Macaca fascicularis: one gene and its partners. The protein of the gene in region 1 purifies or fractionates together with the protein of each later gene. This does not show direct contact. Links are inferred from orthologs where the notes say so. Each region holds a gene or a part of one and is shown in the gene's direction. Other genes may lie near its edges. The genes, in order: PHF1, EZH1, EED and EZH2.

Region 1 (5,711 bases):
GGCCACCCACTTGATTGAAATGTCTCAAGTTCCACAACCCTACCCCACACTGCCACTATTATGTCATTTGTTTGTTGAAGGTCATTTGTCCTATCGAATATACTATTCTGGATTTTGGCTGATTGCTTCCTCTTTCCCCCGTACTTTCACTTATTTATCATATTTGGGTGGTGTTAGCGTGATCTATCCATTTAAAAGCTCCTTACTGACTTTTTCACCTAGTGATTTTACCCATCAGTGACCATACCTGGATCCATTATTTCATTAAGGGGTTTTTAAATGGCGATTTTTCTAATCTTAGTTGTTCTGCATTGGTTAGTCATAATTTTTTTATGAAGACATTTGCCTTGCCATCTACTTGGTTTCTCTGAAATTCAGTTCATACAGGAAAAACAAGATAAATGCTGAATTATTTATTGATTTTCAGTATTGAGTTGATACCCTAGCAGCTTCCAAAGGTGACCAATGAATGTTTATCTGAGGGTTATCTTTATTTTTATCTTTATTTTTTTGAGACAGAGACGCTCTGTTGCCTAGACTGGAATTCAATGGCTCAATCATAGCTCACTGTAGCCACCAAAAGTGTTGGGATTACAGGCGTGAGCCACCCAGCCCAGCCACAGTCGTTCCTCTTTCTGATGCTCAAATTGCCCCATTTTGGGCCAATAGGAACCTCCTGGCCGGGTGCGGTGGCTCACGCCTGTAATCCCAACACTTTGGGAGGCCGAGGCGGGTGGATCACGAGCTCAGGAGATGGAGACCATCCTGGCGAACACGGTGAAACCCTGTCTCTACTAAAAATACAAAAAATTAGCCAGGTATGGTGGAGGGCGCCTGTAGTCCCAGCTACTCAGGAGTCTGAGGCAGGAGAATGGCATGAACCTGGGAGGCGGAGCTTGCAGTGAGCATCGAGATCGAGCCACTGCACTCCAGCCTGTGTGACAAAGCAAGACTGTCTCAAAAAAAAAAAAAAAGAACCTCCTTCAGGTTGGCGCCAGTGTCCTTTAGACAGAACTCAAGCAGTCTTTTCAGATTCAACTTGTACATTTCCTCCCCAGATTTCAACTGATCCATTTTCTAAGGAGTCCTAGTTCCTAAATGGGTGTTATTACTCTTTTATCTCGGTTTAAGTATTTTACAGTGAGAGAGGTTGGAGGTCTCTAGTACAGGGTATTGCTGGAAATGAAAGCCTCCTCTCTCTGCTCCTGTATTTTCTTCTGGGGCTTCTATCTCTTCTCAGGCCTTTTAACCTCCTCCAAACCGTGTGCAGAGGAGAACCAACCATAACTGGGACCAGCCTGAACCTGCCTTTGGAGGCCTTATTTCAGTATTTCTGAGGGCAGCCCTAGCATTGGAGGATGGAAGGAGATCTTGGGGAAAATGTATTGGTTACTCTGCAAACTTTTATCCTGTCTACCCCCAGGTGAACCAGTGTGTTATTGGTACTGCCCAGGCCAACAGGAAGTGAAGACGGATCCAGATCTTGTGTTGGGAGTGTGTGTGTGTGTCTGTATCTGTATGTGTATGTATTGGGTGAGGAGTGGGAGGGTTGCTGGAGGGTGCTTTATTGGGTAGAGGGCACCATGTCCCAGGGCTATCAAATAAAGAATAGTTTTTTTTTTTTTTTTAAATAAAGGTTTATCTGCCCAAGAAGGCAGATATTTTCATATCTGTAAAGGTGGGAGCTGTGATCTGTCCCCTCTGCCAAACGTTTGTGTGGGAGGCGGGAGCGGGGGCTGAGGGCTTGGGCTTTTCCTCTCCTTAGCTCTCACCGGTTCTGGACCATGGTCTGGATCATTTTCCCCTCTGCTAATACCCCCTCCCCCGTCCCTCACATCAGGGAGGCGTGCCCTCTAGCTATCCACACCCTCTCCTTGGTCACTAGTTATCTAGATAAGTTTCACCCTTCCGCCGGCCACCCCAGCCCCAGGGAGCAACGTTCCTTTGGTGGGTGTCGGCAAATGGGGACCGGACCCCGGAGTCCAGAGGCGGGGCTAGCGCGCGCTCCCAAACTGCTGGCTCTTTCCTCCCGCCCTTTCCCTGCCTTTCCGTTCGAACGGCTGGGGCTCTGCCCGCTCGTTGCCCATTGGCTGGCTCTCGGTGGCGTCACCGCCTCGGGTCCTTGCCCCCTTCGTCTTTGCGCCAGCCCTGGAAGCACGGGGCGGGACGTACCCGGGAAGCGGCGCGCACGCCCGCCGACTCCCTCTCGCCAACCGCCGACGGCCGCCGCCCCGTGAAGGAGGAGCTCAGTCCTCCCAGGTGCCGCGCGCAGGAGGGGACACGCGTGCGCAAAAGGGCGGCGGGTGGGGCGCGACTTGCCACGGGGAGGGCGGGGCTGGGGCTAACGGCGAGTGGAGGGCGGGGCGCGCGAGGGAGGAGGGCGTGGTGGGGGCATCGAGAAGGGTGAATGGAGGGCGGGGCCGTGAACTGGGGCCGGGGGGCGGGACTTGGAGTGACCATGGGGGGTGGGGCAGTTAACGGATGTGGCATGGGGCGGGGGACCAGTCCGGAGGCGCGCTGCCGGGAGGGGGGATTCCCTCGTGCCCCAAGGGCGAGTCTCAGGTCGGAGGAAGGGGCTGAGGGGATTCCCTCTCCCACCGGGTCCGACTGTTTGCTTCCCAAGCCGTGGAGGGCCTGCCTCTTCCTCGGCACCCTCCAGGCCTGTCGGAGGTGAGGGAGGTGGGGTGAGGTGGTGCCCGCCCCCCCCTCCGGCTCCTCCTTCCCCCCAGTCCTCCCCTCCCACCACCCTCCCCCCCAACCGGTCCGTCCCTCCCCTCCCTCCCCCCCGCCGCCTCCTCCTCCTGCCGCTGCTGCTGCTTTGGCTGCTGCGTCATACGCCCCAGAGCCGCCGGGACGGAGGGGCTGGGCCTGGGGACCCCCCGGCCTCCGCCTGCACAACCCCCCCACGCCCGGACGTGCCCTCTCCGCGCGGGGGACTCGCCTAGGTCTCCTACGTCTGCCCCTGCCCGGCTCCTGGCGGCCCCAGCTGTCACCGGTAAGGAGGCGGCAGGAGGCGCCGGTGGGGGGCAGGGAGCCGGGGGTCGGCGCGGGGCGCGGGCGGGAGAGCCTCGCCGCCTTGGCCTCGGGTCCGAGCTGGGCCGACTCAAGTCCCTTCTCGGACTTGCGGTCCTGGGGAGTGGAGACCAGGACTGGGACACGCCCCCCTCCCGGGGCACTCGGAGAAGTTGTCTAACCCGGGGGCAGGGAGCCCCGAATTTGAGGGTGACCTGACATAACCTGGCACCAGGATGATTGTTCTTAATGAGACACGCAGGCCTGGGGAGACAGCCGTTTCTGCTCTGGAAAACATCTCCAGAAAAGGTCCCAAAACACATCTCTGGGCAACAGGACACCCTAATTATGATACCTCTAAACTGAGTGGTAGCCTTTGCTTCTACAACCGTAATTTCTCCTAAAATTTCAAGGCCAGGATATAATATCCCAGGAGAGCTCTGGAAGCTGGGAAACTAGCAACTAGGTTTGGGGTTGGGGGGAGGGCAGTTACCGTGAGGAGAGCCAGTCACTAGAGTTGAAAGAGGACTCAAGAAGCTGGTGATGGGTGCCTGGTGGTTTCCTATCCAGGTGTCTCAGGGATTTGGAGATGGGGGCACAGATCCTTCATTCTTGACGGCAAAATAGGCAAAGAAAATGGGGAAGTTGGCCGGGCGCGGTGGCTCACGCCTGTAATCCCAACACTTTGGGAAGCTGAGGTGGGTGGATCATGAGGTCAGGAGTTCGAGACCAGTTTGGCCAACATGGCCAACACCCCCTCTCTACTAAAAATACAAAAAATAGCCAGGCGTGGTGGTGGGTAGACCTTTAATCCCACCTACTTGGGAGGCTGAGGCAGGAGAATTGCCTGAACCCAGGAGGTGATGGTTGCAGTGAGCCAAGATTGTCCAGCCTGGGCGACAGAGCAAAACTCCATCTCAGAAAAAAAAAATGGGGAAGCTTTCTGAGCATTCATAACCTTCTCCTCCCCATTTCTTTTCTGGCTAGGCCCCCCCAGGATGCAATGGCGCAGCCCCCCCGGCTGAGCCGCTCTGGTACCTCCTCACTTTGGGACCCAGCTTCTCCTGCTCCCACCTCTGGCCCCAGGCCTCGACTTTGGGAGGGTCAAGATGTGCTGGCCAGATGGACTGATGGGCTGCTATACTTGGGTACCATCAAAAAGGTAAGACCTACTTCTGATCTTTTTCCTATTTCCCTTATCTAATTCTGGTTCCCATTTCATTCTCTTTGCTCACCCATTCCAGGTGGACAGTGCTAGAGAGGTGTGTCTGGTCCAGTTTGAGGATGATTCGCAGTTTCTGGTTCTATGGAAAGACATTAGCCCTGGTAAGACTAGAGACCTGAGATTGCACATCCCATGGAAAACAAACCTGGCTTAGAGGGGCAGAAAGAGACTTAAGGGCAGGCCCCGTGACACTGTGTTCTCTCACAGCTGCCCTCCCTGGGGAGGAACTCCTCTGTTGTGTCTGTCGCTCTGAGACTGTGGTCCCTGGGAACCGGCTGGTCAGCTGTGAGAAGTGTCGCCATGGTGAGAGGGCAGGTCACCTGAATGGTCTAGCTTGCTCTTCCCTCCAGGATGGTCCTTATGTCACCTGTCGTGGCCTTAGTCCCCAAGCCACTGCTCTGGCCAGGCTGCTTAGCCCTATCTTAGTCCTCATCCCCTTTCAGCCCAGGGAGAAGCAGCCATGGAAAGGGGTGGTGTAACCTTTGCAAGCAGAGGATGATTTAACTGCATCCTTTTCTAACCATATGACCTTGGACAAGTCCCTTAACCTCTAGGAGCCTCAGTTCCCTGACTCGTAAAATAAGGATCATGTACCCTCTCATCAAGAACATGGTCAAGGATTAAATGAGATGGGTAAAGACTATTCCTGTCCCAATACCAAGCACACACAGGTATGCAATTAGTGGTCTACTATTAACATTATCACTCTTCAGCTTATCACCAGGACTGCCATGTTCCCAGGGCCCCAGCCCCTGGAGAGGGAGAGGGCACATCCTGGGTATGCCGCCAGTGTGTCTTTGCGATCGCCACCAAGGTAAAGGCACTTCCCTGTTACCCCTTCCTGTGAGAGCCTCCCATCCACATCCTCTCCCAAGCCTTTTCCTCTCCCCACCCCTCTGAAGTCATCCACCTGTCCTGTCTCTGCAGAGGGGAGGTGCCCTGAAGAAGGGCCCCTATGCCCGGGCCATGCTGGGTATGAAGCTCTCTCTGCCATATGGACTGAAGGGGCTGGACTGGGATGCTGGACATCTGAGCAACCGACAGCAGAGTTACTGTTACTGTGGTGGCCCTGGGGAGTGAGTAATGAGGGGGAGCAGACTGTGGAATGAATGATGTGGTGGTGCCTCCCAGGAAATGAAGGAAAAAGAACAGGATGAGGGTAGCACTCAGGGGGATGGGAGGTAAGTTTAGGGTTTGGGGCAGTTATGGGGAAGGGGGTTTCTGGAGGCCAGAAGTCCTATGTTCCCCCTCAGGTGGAACCTGAAAATGCTGCAGTGCCGGAGCTGCCTGCAGTGGTTCCATGAGGCCTGCACCCAGTGTCTGAGCAAGCCCCTCCTCTATGGGGACAGGTGAGACCAAGGCAGACTCTCCAGAAGCCAAGGTGTTCTCTTCGTGCTCCACCCTCAGTTCCCATGCCTGTCTCCACTCCAGTCTCTTCCCAATATCTGCAGCATTACCTCACCTGTTTGCCCCA
Region 2 (5,196 bases), on another chromosome or scaffold:
TGAAACCACTGTTCAACTCTTTGGCAACTCCAGACACGAGATGAGGGGCTGTCTTCAGCCTTCAAACTAGTTGGCCTGGGTGGGAATTGGAACAGCATAACTTGAGCTTGCTCTCTTATGATTCGCATCGTGATACTCAGTAAGCACCCATGTGAGATACCACCCAGCCCTTTCTGGGGACAGGATACCGTGCCCTGAGCAGGCAGCCTGATACTCCTATTTGTTATTTGTCTATCTCTCTAGCTCATTTCTCAGGACGAGGCTGATCGTCGCGGAAAGGTCTATGACAAATACATGTCCAGCTTCCTCTTCAACCTCAATAATGGTATGAAGTCTCTTTGTCTTGTTCCAAGGTAGTCTTTTTTTTTTTTTTTCCTTTTTTTTGAGACGGAGTCTTGCTCTGTTGCCCGGGCTGAAGTGCAGTGGCACGATCTTGGCTCACTGCAGCCTCTGCCTCCTGGGTTCAAGTGATTCTCCTGCCTCAGCCTCCTGAGTAGCTGGGACTATAAGCACCCACCACCATGCCCAGCTAATTTTTTGTATTTTTAGTAGAGACTGGATTTCACCATGTTGGCCAGGCTGGTATCGAACTCCTGGCCTCAAGTGATCCACCAGCCTTGGCCTGCCAAAGTGCTGGGATTACAGGAGTGAGCCACTGCGCCCAGCCCCAAGGTGGTCTTTCTACCAGATCGTCCTTGCTGTAGTCCAAGTGTAGATCAGCTCCAAATCTTCCAGCAGATGCACAGAGCAAGGGGGCAGGATCATACTTGGGGATCCCACAGGCCACAGTGCCCTTGCTTTGGAAGAACCTCCATTTCTGGGTTCTGTTCGTAATAGGAGCACTGAGCGCCTTTACCTGAGAAATCTTCCTGCCCGGTAGATGAGAAGATCCATAATTCAAAGAGTGAGGACCCAAAAGGAGAGCTCCCACACAAGGCTGAATTCTGAGGCTGCATGCTTTCCTCTGCTTCTGTTAGCACACTGGGCTTCAAAATTCCCATCAGACTAAAGTGTTTGTTACTATTTAATTGATTTTAAATTCAGGCTGAGAAGCTGTGGAGTTGCCAGCGTGCTCATGGTTTTCCTTGATTTACTTTACTTTATACAGATTTTGTAGTGGATGCTACTCGGAAAGGAAACAAAATTCGATTTGCAAATCATTCAGTGAATCCCAACTGTTATGCCAAAGGTGAGTCCCAGTGACCTGGGAGGTGGGGCGGGCGATGGATGCCTCTTTAATGTGATTTCCATCCGTTGTTGAACCTCTTCCATAGCTGAGCTATTTTTTGTCCAAAGATAATCATGATTAATGTCTGGGATCATTTTAGGCCCCTCTCAATCTTAGTTTTATAATCTGCTTTTTTCAGCGAATACATTATAAACACTTTCCCACAAACATGATTTAACCAGCCTGAGCAACATAGTGAGACCCACCTCACCAAATAATAATAGGCTGGGTGCAGTGGCTCACGCTTGTAATCCCAGCACTTTGGGAGGCCGAGGCAGGTGGATGACTTGAGGCCAGGAGTTCAAGACCAGCCTAGCCAACATGGTGAAACCCCATCTCTACTAAAAATACAAAAATCAGCTGGGCGTGGTGGTATGCACCTGTAGTCCCAGCTACTCAGGTGGCTGAGGCACAAGAATCACTTAACCCTGGAGGCGGAGGTTGCAGTGAGCCAAGAGGTTGCCGTGGCACTCCAGCCTGGGCAACAGAACAAGACTCTGTCTCAAAAAAAAAAAAAAACCCACTAATAATAATAAAGATAATTTTTCTGCCATAATAACAGATCTAAAAGCATAGAGGCAACTACCGTATTGACTACTTCGTAATTCCATTTGATTCATGTTTTCACTGGGAATTTGGAGAAAATCAACCCAGAAGCCTACTGGTTATTGATTTGGAGTTGGGTAGGAACCTAGCCTTGGGTTTATCCTGCTTGCAGTGGTCATGGTGAATGGAGACCATCGGATTGGGATCTTTGCCAAGAGGGCAATTCAAGCTGGCGAAGAGCTCTTCTTTGATTACAGGTGAGGTGCCAGTAATGGTCCTTGGGTTGTGGCCCCGGAACTGGAAAGAGAGGCGTTGGAATAGATTTGGAGGCTCAGGGAGGGTAATGGGGATGGAGGAGAGTCTTCCGGTGAACAAGGCTGTGTCCCTTGTTCTGATATCTGGTGCCTTGCCTCAGAAGTGGGACCATTGTAAACAGCCGTTAAGGAGTGGGAGGGGAAGTGAAACGGAAGGGGACTCCGCCTTTTCAATCACAAAAGTCATGAGAGTAACCTGGTTCCTCCTCCCTGCTCTGGGACAGGTACAGCCAAGCTGATGCTCTCAAGTACGTGGGGATCGAGAGGGAGACCGACGTGCTTTAGCCCTCCCAGGCCCCATGGCAGCATTTATGGTAGCGGCACTGTCTTGGCTTTCATGCTCACACCACTGCTGCTCGAGTCTCCTGCACTGTGTCTCCCACACTGAGAAACCCCCCACCCACTCCCTCTGTAGTGAGGCCTCTGCCATGTCAAGTGGGCACAAAACTGTCTCAATGAGAGGGGAGACAGAGGCAGCTAGGGCTTGGTCTCCCAGGAGAGAGTTGCAGAAATGGGAGACTTTCTCTGGCCTCAGAGGAAGTGAGCACAGGCTGGAGTAGATGACTTATATGTGATTTCGTGTCGGCTCCCCAGGTTGTGGGCCTCAGGAATCAACTTAGGCAGTTCCCCACAAGCACTAGCCTGTAATTGTAGCTTTCCCCATCAGGCGTCCCTATGTCATTGGGGTGCAGGCAAACCTCTGTGATCCGAAGACCTGGAGAGGACAGGCTAAGTGAAGCGTGGTCCCTGGACCCTACAAGTGGTCTGGGTTAGAGGCAGGCCTGGCAGGCAGCACAGACTGAACTCAGAGGTAGACGGGTCACCTTACTACCTCCTCCCTTGTGGCAGGGCTCAAACTGAAAGAGTGTGGGTTCTAAATACAGGCATTTGAGGCTTGGGGAAGGAAAGCTATGCCATCCTTCCTTGGCCAGAGAGGGAGAACCAGCCAGATGATAGTAGTTAAACTGCTATGCTTGGGCCCAGGAGGCTTTGAGAAAGCCTTCTCTGTGTACTCTGGAGATAGACGGAGAAGTGTTTTCAGATTCCTGGGAGCAGACGCCAGTGCCCAGCTCTCCAAAGTTCTGGCTTAGCAGCTGCAGGCAGGCATTATGCTGCTATTGAAGAAGCATTAGGGGTGTGCCTGGCAGGTGTGAGCACCCTGGCTCGCTGGATTTGTAGGTGTTTTCAGGCCTTCCATTCCCCATAGAGGCAAGGCCCAACGGCCAGTGTTGCTTATCTCTTCAGGGTAGGCAGGCATAGGCCTGGACTAGAGAGGAGAAAGATTGGTGTAATCTGCTTTCCTGTCTGTAGTGCCTGCTGTTTGGAAAGGGTGAGTTGGAATATGTGTTCCAAGTTGGGTGAGGGGCTAAATTGCACGTGTTTAGGCTGGCATCCCGTGTGCAGGGCATACTGGTGGAGGGTATGTGAAGTGGGAGAAGAAGCAGGTAGACCACCTGTTCCAGGCTGTGGTGCCACCCTCTCTGGGATTCATGCAGAGCAAAGCACTTTAACCATTTATTTTAGAAGGTCTATAGATTGGGGTAGAGTTTGGGCTAAGGTCTCTAGGGTCCCTGCCCAAATCCCACTCCTGAGGGAGGGGGAAGAAGAGAGAGCGGGAGATTCTCTTCCAGTCCTGTCTCATCTCCTGGGAGAGGCAGAGGAGCGAGCTTCACACAGAATTTCATGTGAATGGGGCCAGCAAGAGCTGCCCTGTGTCCATGGCAGGTGTGCCAGGCTGGCTGGGAACAAGGAATAGTGTGCTGGGTAGAAAGGGCGTGGGCGGGTGTAGATTGGCCTGGGAGTGTTATAGTAGGGAGCAGGCTTCTTCCTTCTTTCTGAGACTCGCAGCCCCCACTTCTTCCCACTCCACTGGTTGTCCCATGAAGGAAGAAGTGGGGTTCCCCCTGACCCAGCTGCCTCTTAGGGTTTGGTGTGAGACATGCACACACACTCACACGCTCTCACTCACCACACTGGAGGGCACACATGCATCCCGCACTCAGCAAATCCTGACAGAAAGCTCTTCCCACCCAAATAGGCCAGGCCCCAGCATGATCCTGAAATCTGCATCTGCCGTGGTTTGTATTCATTGTGCATATCAGGGATACCCTCAAGCTGGACTGTGGGCTCCAAATTACTCATAGAGGAGAAAACCGGAGAAAGATGAAGAGGAGGAGTTAGGTCTGTTTGAAATGCCAGGGGCTGGCCATGAGGAATAGGTGAAAAAAAACTTTTCACCAGCCTTTGAGAGACTAGACTGACCCTACCCTTCCCTCAGTGAGCAGAATCACTGTGGTCAGTCTCCTTCTGTCCCAGCTTCAGTTCATGAATACTCCTGTTCCTCCAGTTTCCCGTCCTTTGTCCCTGCTGTCCCCCACTTTTAAAGATGGGTCTCAACCCCTCCCCACCACGTCATGATGGATGGGGCAAGGTGGTGGGGACTGGGGGAGCCTGGTATACATGCGGCTTCATTGCCAATAAATTTCACGCACTTTAAAAGTCCTGTGGCTTGTGACCTCTTATCTGAATAAAGTGTTAGAATCCATTTTGGCAAGCTGTGTACTGTGTGCTTTGGGGCTGGAAGGATCCAGGGATGGGGTCCAGGAGCAGGTCGGGCCAAAGCATCAGCATTCTGATCCCCACTTACCCACTGAGGTCTGGCAAAGGGGGAGATGGGGGGTCCGGCAAGAGCCAGTCAAGCCCCTGGAAGGTGATGCAAGGATTCTGAGAGCTCCTTCTAGAAATTCCTGAGCCCTCAGGTTAGTTCCCTTAAAATCATCCCACTTATCCCCTAACCACGACGCCAGCTACCACACACAGACTGGGGCTCTGCCACTCTGCTTTATTGGAACGGCTCCGTGTCTGAGAGCACAGCAGGCTCAACCCTGCTTCAGAGTGGAGGCCGGACCAGGCTGGTGAGTGACCAGCAGGACTCATGAGACTTCCAACACAGGAGAGGCAAACTACGGACTGTGGGCACAGCACAGCACAGGACAGCACGGCCAATTGAGCTTTTCTTTTATATATAAACAAATACTTTAAAAATTCGAATAATATATAGAGTTTCTCTAGAGAGAGACTTTGCAACAAAAATTACATATAAAGAAT
Region 3 (5,729 bases), on another chromosome or scaffold:
AAAGTAGTACTCTGCATAGAATACCTGTGACATTTTACATATCTTAAATTAGTAACAAAGACTCTCCTCTGAGCCCTCTTCTCCCTCATCCTGTCTAGCTTGCCTCGCTCAGCTATAGCAAGAATTCTGAGTCAGTTTAGAGAGAAACCCACACCCTTGATATCTGATCACCCTGGCCTTTTTTCAGCACAAATTCTGTTAAGTTGGTTTAGCAAAAATTTCCCCATCCGTGATGTCTCTTCTTAGTAATTTTCCAACCACCAACCCCTCCAACTCTGCTCCTTGACTATAAATTCCCACTCCTTGCTGTAATTTGGAGTTGAGCCTGATCTCTCTCCTATTGTGATAGTCTTGACATCTATCAAAATAGTCCTGAATTAAGTGTTCCTTACTATTTTAACAAGTGTCAGAATATTTTTTCTTTAATGTAGTAACAATAATGTAGTAATATAAACTAATTTCCATTTATCACCCAATTCATCAGAAACATTTTTAAAACGGTTTTTTAAACATTCAAGTTTTAATAAGCCTCTTTAAAATATTTTTGCTTTGTTACAGATAATATGAATGCTGTAAGGCATTTTTCTACCATATGTGTCCTTTATCCAAATGTTCAGCACTTTTCTAATTTTATGACTAGACGTTGACTCCCACTTCCCAGCTCCCACTAATCTCTCACACACGGAGTAATTTTAATTTGAAATGCTGTAGTTGATTATCCTTTACTTGTAGAACTATATTTCAGAAACATCCTTCCTTTTATTGGAAAGATGTTCTCAACAAAGGGAAGGATGTTTCTGTCTGCTGATGAAAATGTCATACCAAAGCACATCTTACTTTCTCAGGAGCTTACTCTACTCTACTCTCATCTCTTCCTCACCAACTGAGGAGTGCTTAGTAGTGCCTGGAACATTGGAAGTGCTGAACAAATGACTGCAGTCATTGAAACCTCAACTTTAATTTTTTTCAGCTTCATTTCAAAGTCTTCACTGCAAAAACCTCTTATTCTGACCTGCCGTTGCTTTACTTCCTTTTCTCATTCTCAACCAAGAGTTGTCTCTTTATCTGCAAAAGAAAGAGTGACTTGCAATCTGCAGATAAGGAAACTGATGTCCTGGTTATAAAGTTATCATGCAGAAATAATTCATGTATACTGGAATTTTATGGATGGTGCACTCTAGGTGGGTAATGACATCTAAAAGAGAAAAGATATACAACATCAAGTAGGTGCCCAAGAAATGGTAGGTCCCTGCCTACCTCCTCATTTTTACAGATGAGGACATTTTTACAGAAGCCCGAATAGATAAGTAGTCACAATCATGTTCTAAGAAAAAAAAAAAAAAGGGTGGCGGATGCCGTATTTTATTTTTCATCATTCTCCGTTTCCTGCTGCTCATTCAGTTATGGTTTCATGGCCCATATAATAATTCCACAAGGCTCACCAATGTTATCTGCCACCTGGTAGAGAATAGATATAGTAACAGAGGCAAATATTTTGGTGAAGTATAACAGTTGTGTTGCCTTCTAGAATTTCATTGTATCTAATGTGCAAAAACAAACAAAACATTGTCGGTTAAGTCTCACAGTCTCATAATAGTTGGAGATGAGCACTGATTCTTAGGCCTTGGCGCAGTTCAGGGCCTATCATACTTTAGCAGCTAAAAAGAGCACTTCGGCTGTAACTCATTGGAATCTAGCTTCGTAATTTTCGGATATTTCTATTTAAGTCTTAACCATTAATGGCAGCAACTGGGAAGGATAATCATTCATTACAATAAATAGTCAATAGAATAAATATCCGACAAGAATTTATGAAACGTCTAGAGTATAATCTGCAGCGCTTTGAAATCCACCCTGGGATTCGGAAACCGGGGAGAAAACTACCTGGTTCAGCAAACGAGAATTCAAACAGAGGAGGGGCTTGGAGGAGGCGGGTCTCCACGAACCCAGCGCAAGAGTACGCCACGGCGCCTGCGCATCCCCTGAAGGGTACTTTCCATTCGCCAGATGGGGGAAGTCAGGGGGAAGCAGGTTACTGTTTTTGTATTTCTATCTTCAAGGAAGAATTAGATTATGAATAGTTCTGTGAATTGTCAGGAAGCGCTATCATCCAAGTCCAAGATTAAGGAAACGTGGCATGCACAGCTAAAGCAAGAGGTGACGTCTTGTATCTTCCCCCATTTCCTGGGACATTGGTGGTGTAGCCCATTCCACAGACTTTCGCTCCCTAGCAGCGGGTCGGAGATCGAAGGAACGGGCCAATTGCGGCTGAAACGTCTTTGGAAGGAGGAAGGGGGTGAGGGAGCATCCCTTTGAGTTTCGCCTCTTCCCGAGGCGGTGGTGGGAAGGGAGACATACTTAATACTGCCCTCTTAATCCAACGGATCTTACATCGTGTAGACTGCCGGGAGGGCGGCGGGAAAAGGGCAAGACGGGAATTGGGGAAGGGAACGAGCCAGGAAGCCGCGCGGGAGGGCGCGCGCGCGCGCCCCTTTTTCAGCAGTGTGGCGGGGTCGCACGCACGCCCGCCTCGGCGGCTGGGCGCGATTTGCGACAGTGGGGGGGGCGGTGGAGGTGGCGGCGGCAGCGGCAACTTTGCGGCAAGCTCGGGCCGGGCTTGCTTGACGGCGGTGTGGCGGAGGCCCCGCCCCAGGCGGCAGGAACCTGGAGGGAGGCGGAGGAATATGTCCGAGAGGGAAGTGTCGACTGCGCCGGCGGGAACAGACATGCCTGCGGCGAAGAAGCAGAAGCTGAGCAGTGACGAGAACAGCAACCCAGACCTCTCTGGAGACGAGAATGTAAGTGCAGCTCCTGGCAGTTAAGAGACTCCGGAGTAAAAGTTTTAAATTCTTTTAAAACGGGGGGCGCGGGGACGAGCGGGCTGCTGTGGGGGGAGGGAGAGGTGTCACTCAGGAAAACGCGGGCGTGCGGGAGAAAATCGAAATTGTCTACGGGGATTTTGATGTGGGGCCGAGAGCAGACAGAAACTAGGCGAAGGAGAGTGGTTCTAGTGTTTGCCTGGGTCTGAGAGGACTGCCCTGAAATCAGTTTGCTTGTGATGGGGAGTGTTTTGGCCTTTGGGGAGATTTAAGGGGAGAGTGCGGGTCTGAGATTCTAATAGTTTAAAAGGCAAGTTAGAGACTTTTCTAAGAAAGTTGGAAGGATGGGGCAGAGTTAGAGACCCTGTTAAAGGAGCGTTAAGGGTTGTCACTCTAAGACCCTTGTGGAATTTTCAGGTTGGAAAGAGATCTTCGATTTGCGGAGTTTGGGGGACTTTATTAAAGGGGGTTTTGTGTCCGCCTCCGTCCTGTCCGCGGAGACCGGGTGCGCCTGAAGGTCGCCTTTTCTGTAGGAGGAGCCGAATTGAGAGGATCGATTTTTGATTTGGGGGTGGGGAGTGACTACTTTTGAGGAAGGAGTAAGAGTGGGCGATTTCTTCTTTGAACGTTTTTACTTAAGATAAAGGGGGGGGGGGCGACCTGGAAGAATTTAGGCAACAGTGGTATAGGCAGATGGGCTATGTATTTAAGGATGGGCTCCTGGCTTCGCCAAGTGCGAGATGTTTTACAATCAGATTTTTTTTAAGTTCTGAAATGGATATTCGTAATCATTCGGTACCAACATTTAACCCAACTGGGTTTTAGTTGACTCACCAGTAAGAGCCGAATTGACATAAATAAGCTTTCAGTTTCATGTTTTAGGTTGATAACCAGTAGGGTCAACGAAATATCTTGACAATTTATTCAAAGATATTACTCCAAAAGGTGATTCTCCTTCTCATGATATATGACAACTTGTGACTATCTTAAAAATCCTTAAAATGTTTCAGAGAGTGGCGTTAAGTTCTTCATTTTCTCAGTTTGGCTAGTTTTAGGAATAAATGTTACATCTTCCACATTCAGTTTCTAAATTCTATGTCATAATTCCTAGCTGGAACATGTAATGGTGTCATGACTAAGATGGGAAAGGATTCTTTTTGCAGAGACAAGATAGATATTCTTGGGATTGTCAGTTTGTGGGATCTTAGACTTGAAATTTCAGGAAGCTTGGGTGTTAAGTGTTACTTTTGTATTTTTCCCCCGATTGTGCGCCCCAGTCTCCCTGTACATTGGGATCGAAGGTTTTTTACCCTCTTTTTATTATTTAGAGACCGTTCATTTTATTTCTGCATTTTCTTAAATTTCCCTAGGAAGATTAGAGAATTAAGAGCACAGATGCTGGATCCAAGTGATAGGTTAAAATTTCTGCTCTATTTTAATCTTGACCTTGAGCTTGACTGACATAATTGTCTTAGTTTCTTAAAAATGAGGATGGTGTTGTGTGGTATTTACCTCATAGAGTATTTGTAAGCATTAAATGAGTTAATATAGCTAAAGTACAAAGAAGAGTGTCTGCCCCATGGTAAGTACTATATACGTGTTATTTATTTATAATAATTACTACTACTTATTTATGATTACATAGAATAATATTTCTGGTCCTTCCACATACTTAATAATCAAGCAAAATATAATGAAACTGTCAAACCTGTTTAGAATGAAGAAACTTGCAGAAGACAAAATAAAGCTTATTTTCTTCTTGCAGACCCTTAAAGGAAAACATATTCTTTGTTGCCGTTTTAAAGCTGTTCAAGACCAAATGATTGGATTAGGTTTTGTTTTGGTTCCTCCGTTTGGATAGACTTAATTTTGTGTGTGTGTGTTTGTGTGCGCGCATCCCTTGGAAGCCTTAATCTTGTAGAGTCTTTTTTTTTTTTTTTTTTTGAGACGGAGTCTCGCTCTGTCACCCAGGCTGGAGTGCAGTGGCCGGATCTCAGCTCACTGCAAGCTCCGCCTCCCGGGTTCACGCCGTTCTCCTCCCTCAGCCTCCCGAGTAGCTGGGACTACAGGCACCCGCCACCGCGCCCGGCTAGTTTTTTGTATTTTTTAGTAGAGACGGGGTTTCACCGTTTTAGCCAGGATGGGAGTCTTTTCAAAATAACATTTTCAGATGTGTGAAATACAGGATATGAGGTTGCAAACAAATTCAGTTATAAAATTGTACACCATTTTATAAAATATTTCTAAAATTTTAGATGTAGCACTATACTATAGTTTATTAGCACATTAAGTAACAAGATCTAGCAGTGGGTCAGATAGTAGTAATGGGCATAAACACTTTTTCGAAGTATAATATAAAAATATTTGATTTCCATTGGTGACAGAGTCACAACTTCAGTAACATTAAGCATGTATGTTACCTAGATAATAATAGAAGGAAGTGCTAAATTTTAAAGGTGGCAAAAATTAAGATGCAAATTTTTTTCCCCATTTGAGTTCACATGCCTTCTGAATTTCATCCATGTACCCCTGACAGGGGCAGTAGTAAGGTAAGGGAGTAGAGAACATTGTATAAAAATGAGTTCAGAAAAAATAAGAGCAATAGTTTTACTCTTCAGGGCGCCAAATAATGGCAAAAGGCCAAAGCAGATGGGGGAAGAATATGTTTTTGAGTTAGAGTTAAGGTAACTTGAGCAGTTACTACTGGTAATGTGAGTCAGAGAATTATAGGCACATATTTTAAATTTATTGTGTATGTTATCTGCCATTTTATTGAACTTTTTGAGATCATATGACTGCAAAATAGTTGGCTTCTGCAAGAGTACTAATGGATGCCTTGGTAGTAAGATCAGAGGACTGAATCTAGAGACTTGTCTTTTTGCTTAAGCAAAAGCAGAGATGCAGGGCATC
Region 4 (5,804 bases), on another chromosome or scaffold:
AGATTGATTTTATTAGGTCAGTCTGTGGGTTTGATTGGGAATGAATTGCCATAAACTGCCTTTTAAGCCTGGACGTCTGCATGTTTGTGGATTTGCATGCTTAGTAACTGGATTGTGCTGGGCGCGGGGGCTGACTCCTGCAGTCCCAGCACTTTGGGAGGCTGAGGCACGTGGATTGCTTGAGCTCAGGAGTTGGGAGACCAGCATGGGCAACATGGCGAGACCCCATTGCTACAAAAAATGCAAAAATTAGCCAGGCATGGTGGTGCATACCTGTAGTCCCAGCTACTTGGGAGCTGAGGGAGGAAGATCGCTTGAGCCTGGGAGGTTGAGGCTGCAGTGAGCCATATTTGTGCCACTGCTCTCCAGCCTGGGCAACAAAGTGAGACCCTGTCTCAGAGGAAAACAAAACAAAACAGGATTGCTTGGTTCTAGCCACATTCAGCTTTTCTCATCTATGGTCAGCAGGGAGAACAGGAGCTTTACCATAGAGTGTCCTGCTTAATCCACAACCTGGTTGATAAGGATGTAGAAACAACAGTGTCATTAGTTATTCACCTTCTAAATTGTTGAGTTACCGAAAAATCATAGGGCTAGCTTCAATTTGGAACCAACTCACCCCAATTTTTTTTTTTGAGATGGAGTTTCGCTCTTGTTGCCCAGGATGGAGTGCGATGGTGCGATCTTGGCCCCCTGCAACCTCCGCCTCCCAGGTTCAAGCGATTCTCCTGCCTCAGCCTCCCGAGTAGCTGGGATTACAGGCATGTGCCACCACGCTCAGCTGATTTTGTGTTTTTAGTAGAGATGGGGTTTCTCCATGTTGGTTAGGCTGGTCCTGAACTGCCGACCTCAGGTGATCTGCCTGCCTCAGCCTCCCAAAGTGCTGGGATTACAGGCGTGAGCCACTGCGGCCAACTTGTGTGTGTGTGTGTGTGTTTTTTTTTTTTTTTTTTTAAGCTCAGCGAGAAGACTTTGGTTCCTCACTTTCTCCAAGGATAATTACTTCAGGATGTGGAAATATTTCTGAGTTGGGGTCCTTAATATACAGTTATTCTTAGATTTATCAGTGTGCAGACTGAATGGGAAAGAGAACTTGGCTGTAGTGACCCTTTTTGTTTTCTTCCGAAGGTCCAGTATTCACTGTGTGTGCTTTTGCATGTGCTGTCAGACTTGATCACCTTTATCCAAAAGAATTTTCTCTTGTGTCTTTCTTTTTAGATTATTTCTCAAGATGAAGCTGACAGAAGAGGGAAAGTATATGATAAATACATGTGCAGCTTTCTGTTCAACTTGAACAATGGTATGTATCTGAGCTGGGAGGCAGTGAGTTCCTCTGAGTTGCATGTGGCAGCCTTCTGCCTGCCAAGTGTTCAGAAACGAGGGTGGAGGTCAGTGAGGTGACCAGAAGGAGGATCTCCTTAGAGGCATCGGGGGCTGCTTGCTTGAAAGGAACTGGAGCAAGGAATTCCTCAGGGAGCAGATGGACTAGGTGTGCAGGAAACCGCCTCTCTGAAGCCCTGGCCATCTGTGAGTGGCGCTGTACCAGTGTCTGGCTGTGACGGGGATGTTGTGCTCTTGCTGCCTCACCTCTTGTGTTCAGGCAGCTCAGCTCACCTCCTGCAGTCAGTGCCTCGGAGCTGGGAAGGAGGGGAGGAGCCAGACTCCCCTGGATATTCTCAAAGGACTGGGAGGAAAGGCAGTTGCTTTCATAGCTGATGTTCTGGGGTAGAATGTAAGTCTGTAGGGATATTTCTGGTGGGATTGTTCTGGTGGGAGGTTGGCTTAACATGTAAGATATTCAGAGAAACTCTTAGTTGGAACAAGTAGAATAGATTTTTTCTAGGAATGCTTTATAGACATTATAAAAAAAACTAATGTTAAATGAATTGATGTTCAGAAGAATTTTGTCAGATTCTTTTTAATTTTTTTTTTATTTTGCTTAGTAATGTATGTTTATAGTTGATAATTAATAGCTTTTGTGTCAGATAACCATCTTGAATTATAGGTGATTAATTTTAACCTGGAACAATAGTGTGTTCTTCCAAATGTCATTTCTTACTGAATGAAGTTGCTTGAATGATTTATTTGCTTTTGCAGGCAAACCCTGAAGAACTATAACCGGTTGCATTTACAGAATCATAATAACTTGATTTACTTATAACTGAAATTATTCACTGGGCTCATTTTCCTCTTTTTAGATTTTGTGGTGGATGCAACCCGCAAGGGTAACAAAATTCGTTTTGCAAATCATTCGGTAAATCCAAACTGCTATGCAAAAGGTAGGTATCTTTGACGTCAGAATTGGAACTCCCTTTTTAATCCTGTGATGATGGACTTGAATACTTCTGGGATAGTTGTTTGTTATGTGAACAAGTCAGTTAACCTCCCGTGGCCTGTCTTCATGCTCACTGACACCAGTGTGTCTCTTTCCAGTTATGATGGTTAACGGCGATCACAGGATAGGTATTTTTGCCAAGAGAGCCATCCAGACTGGTGAAGAGCTGTTTTTTGATTACAGGTTGGTAAAGTACATTTCTAACATGATCTCTAAGGGCTTTTTCTACTGGATCGTGAACGCTGGGCGAAGGATTTTTTTAGTTCTTTGCTAGATGTGCTGAGGGGTGGGGGTGAGTTGTTTTGACGGGTCACTTTGCCTTGAGCATTAGTGGGGAATTAGGTTATACTTTCCTGTTATGTATTCACGATCCATTTATTTATTATAAAAGTCATGCTTATTTTAAAAATAGAATCAAATCCATGCAGAAAGCCCCGTTTCTCACCCTGCTGTTGACAGCTGGGTGAGTCCTAGACCTTCTCATATCATGCCGCATGCTGCATGCTTGCTTGTGGAGCGTTTTTCCAGATAAGTGTGATCACACTGTCCTATAGATTTTTCTGCAACATGGTTTTACTTGACAATATACTATGTATATCTTTACTGATTAGATCTACTTAATTTATTGTTTGCTATAATACTTATTACACGTATCATTACCATTTTAAAAGGTGCTGTTGGCAAATCACTGTCTGGTCACCCTGTGGGGATGCCTGGGACATGTGGGCCACCGATGGTATCTGTGTGGTTAGGCATTAGGCTGCCAGTTGACACAGTCAAGCTCTGTGGGATACATTTAAGTCATCCATTGAATACAGATTTAGGTGCAGTCAGATGACTGTCTAGTTAATGAACTCCTGTGGTCCCATGTACATCCCATCCAGAAGCTGTCTTTGAGTACTGAGTTCTTGAATATTCAGGCTGGCCTTTAATGGCTGTTGCATAGCCGAGAGCTCTCAGTGAGGCAGACAGGGTCTGAGTGAAAGGCCTACTTTACTGAGGGCCGCTGCCTTCATTCCAGGCCGGCTCTGAATGAAGAGTGTGGGGTGGAGCTGGGGTTGGAGGCAAAGCCATCCAGTTTCCTTGGGAGGGCCTGGTGGCCCCACCCACTATTTCTGGGTGTCCACTGTACTCCAGTTCTTTCTTCACCTGGGGGAACAACTGGCGGGCTGCTCTTTGGCCCTCTTTGCCATGGTCATCGTTTTTTTCCAGACCATGGTTTTATTTTGCCTTTCCACCGTCGGACCTAAACATCATGATGTGGACCAGCCTTCCTGGGGCCACTTGCTTCAGAGGCATAGGGGAGGCTGGGCAAGCTCTGGAAATGCTTGTAGACAGGTTTGTTCAGTTCAGAACTTGGCAGCGTCTCACTTAGATGGCCAGCAACACAGACCTACGCATTGCCTTCTACGAGTGTGCCCTTATGCAGGCAGCTGTATAATTGGATGGTTTTTTGTTTTGTTTTGTTTTGTTTTAAGACATTTTAATGCACCCACTGTCTTCAGCAGGCTTTGTTGTGTTAAGTAAGTCTCAGCACATGTTGGATGGGTGGTCATCCAGCGGACTTCTGCTTCTTCCTGTTGTTTCAGATACAGCCAGGCTGATGCCCTGAAGTATGTCGGCATCGAAAGAGAAATGGAAATCCCTTGACATCTGCTACCTCCTCCCCCTCCTCTCTGAAACAGCTGCCTTAGCTTCAGGAACCTCGAGTACTGTGGGCAATTTAGAAAAAGAAAATGCAGTTTGAAATTCTGAATTTGCAAAGTACTGTAAGAATAATTTATAGTAATGAGTTTAAAAATCAACTTTTTATTGCCTTCTCACCAGCTGCAAAGTGTTTTGTACCAGTGAATTTTTGCAATAATGCAGTATGGTACATTTTTCAACTTTGAATAAAGAATACTTGAACTTGTCCTTGTTGAGTCATCTCTCATAACATGTCAATAACTGCTTTTAGTACTGCCCAACAAAAAACTTTTAAATTTACCTCCTTGAGTTTTTTAGTTGTCTTTGTATGAATCTTGATTTTAACTAATACTGCCTGGTAATATGTGGAAGACATTCATATATGAAGAACTGCTGTGCATCCTGAGGGCTGACCCAGTAAAGGGCTTGATTTTATAGACAAGACCAGGGTGGGTGGGTACGTTCCAGTCAGCTGTGCAAACTGGAGAAAGTGATTTAACCTCCAAGTCTGTTCCCCATATATAAACTGACAGAGTAGACTTAGCTTATTTTTAAGAACTCACCTAGTTCTAAATGCCGTTAGTCTAGATAGAGTTCTTTAGAAATACAATATAAGTTGGGATTCCTTACCTACCTACTGACAGGTATAACCAAACTAGTTTTATATCTTCTCAAAGAAGAGGTAAAAATCACAAACTCTAAGCATCAAGGAAACAACATGTGCCTTGCATGCCTTACCATGTGGTCGGTCTCAGAATTTGGGGGAATTTCTCTGCACCCTCCCCCGGTACATTCACCAGCAGCATCATGGGAACCCTCACAACCGCTGCAAACCAGACCACACTCAGTTACTTGGCAGTTGCCTTTTCTACAGTTAGATTTTATTTACAATGTGATAGTATTAATGTGAAACCTAATTAAATCGACTCATCTTGCTTTCCGGTTCCACAACATTTGCGAGATCAGGTCTCCATCACATCAGTGCACAGGCGCAGCAACTTGAGTCCTAAAGTTAATTTGCCACTTGATTTGGGATTGAGGAGACCCTCCCTCAGCCTCGTCCCATGGTTTCTTAATGACAGTGCTGATCTATTTTATGTCTACATAACTATCTCCACTCTCACCCAGAAAATGGTCCCATCCACTTAAGAGCTTGTTGCCCTCGATGCCCTCATGTTCCACTCTTGGCACTCAGCAGGACCCTGAGGCAGTTACTTCATTATTTGGGTTAGGTCATTCTCTAGATGGCTCAATGGCCTTGCTTAGGCACAGGTGAAATGGAGCCCATCTGCTCATCATTGCATGTAGGCCTGTTCATGAGACCCCAAAGATTACTTGGGCCCAAAAGTACCTGTTGACATGGCTCATTCCAGCCACAGCCCTCAACCCGTCCTCAGAGGAACAGCTGGGAAATGGATCCTTGAGGCCTCCAGTGAGCACAATGTACCAGAGCCCCAAAGGCATAGGAAAGACAAAGGGGCATGATGGAAAGCAGTAGTTTTTGAGCCCTGTCTGATGTATTCTCAATGCACAGCAAGCTTTTTGTACCATGATTTGAAATGTGCTTCTGTAAATGCCTCTTCAGTGACTTCCATGAACACAGATTTCTGAACAGAAATGCTTGACATAATAACCCATTTGATATAACCTATCAAGCTTGTCTGGCCTGTGGACGGCCGGTTGCATACAGCCCAACACAAATTCGTAAACTGTCTTAAAACATTGAGGTTTTTTGTGAATTTTTTTTTTTTTTTTTTTTAAAGACGGTATTTTGCTCTGTTAC

The links.
Region 2: the proteins of PHF1 (region 1) and EZH1 purify together in Homo sapiens (affinity purification with mass spectrometry; 5 studies listed by BioGRID and IntAct, with this or other methods). This does not show direct contact. The link is inferred for Macaca fascicularis from reciprocal best matches to the Homo sapiens genes PHF1 and EZH1.
Region 3: the proteins of PHF1 (region 1) and EED purify together in Homo sapiens (affinity purification with mass spectrometry; 8 studies listed by BioGRID and IntAct, with this or other methods). This does not show direct contact. The link is inferred for Macaca fascicularis from reciprocal best matches to the Homo sapiens genes PHF1 and EED.
Region 4: the proteins of PHF1 (region 1) and EZH2 purify together in Homo sapiens (affinity purification with mass spectrometry; 15 studies listed by BioGRID and IntAct, with this or other methods). This does not show direct contact. The link is inferred for Macaca fascicularis from reciprocal best matches to the Homo sapiens genes PHF1 and EZH2.

What each region holds. Positions count from the first base shown.
Region 1 is NC_088378.1:138,280,127-138,285,837, reverse strand, and holds the start of PHF1 (PHD finger protein 1), read left to right. Parts: upstream 1-2,133; 5' UTR 2,134-2,995; intron 2,996-3,999; 5' UTR 4,000-4,015; coding exon 4,016-4,174; intron 4,175-4,256; coding exon 4,257-4,338; intron 4,339-4,444; coding exon 4,445-4,540; intron 4,541-4,680; exon of another isoform or gene 4,681-4,866; coding exon of another isoform or gene 4,867-4,870; intron 4,871-4,950; coding exon 4,951-5,051; intron 5,052-5,164; coding exon 5,165-5,313; intron 5,314-5,490; coding exon 5,491-5,586; intron 5,587-5,711. Other genes in the region: kinesin-like protein KIFC1, read left to right, coding at 1,424-1,468. UniProt on the Homo sapiens protein: Polycomb group (PcG) that specifically binds histone H3 trimethylated at 'Lys-36' (H3K36me3) and recruits the PRC2 complex. Involved in DNA damage response and is recruited at double-strand breaks (DSBs).
Region 2 is NC_088390.1:63,757,282-63,762,477, reverse strand, and holds the end of EZH1 (histone-lysine N-methyltransferase EZH1), read left to right. Parts: intron 1-243; coding exon 244-325; intron 326-1,108; coding exon 1,109-1,189; intron 1,190-1,946; coding exon 1,947-2,031; intron 2,032-2,312; coding exon 2,313-2,373; 3' UTR 2,374-4,633; downstream 4,634-5,196.
Region 3 is NC_088388.1:85,287,762-85,293,490, forward strand, and holds the start of EED (polycomb protein EED), read left to right. Parts: upstream 1-2,243; 5' UTR 2,244-2,684; coding exon 2,685-2,798; intron 2,799-5,729. UniProt on the Homo sapiens protein: Polycomb group (PcG) protein. Component of the PRC2/EED-EZH2 complex, which methylates 'Lys-9' and 'Lys-27' of histone H3, leading to transcriptional repression of the affected target gene.
Region 4 is NC_088377.1:190,461,529-190,467,332, reverse strand, and holds the end of EZH2 (histone-lysine N-methyltransferase EZH2), read left to right. Parts: intron 1-1,218; coding exon 1,219-1,300; intron 1,301-2,198; coding exon 2,199-2,279; intron 2,280-2,433; coding exon 2,434-2,518; intron 2,519-3,924; coding exon 3,925-3,985; 3' UTR 3,986-4,249; downstream 4,250-5,804. UniProt on the Homo sapiens protein: Polycomb group (PcG) protein. Catalytic subunit of the PRC2/EED-EZH2 complex, which methylates 'Lys-9' (H3K9me) and 'Lys-27' (H3K27me) of histone H3, leading to transcriptional repression of the affected target gene.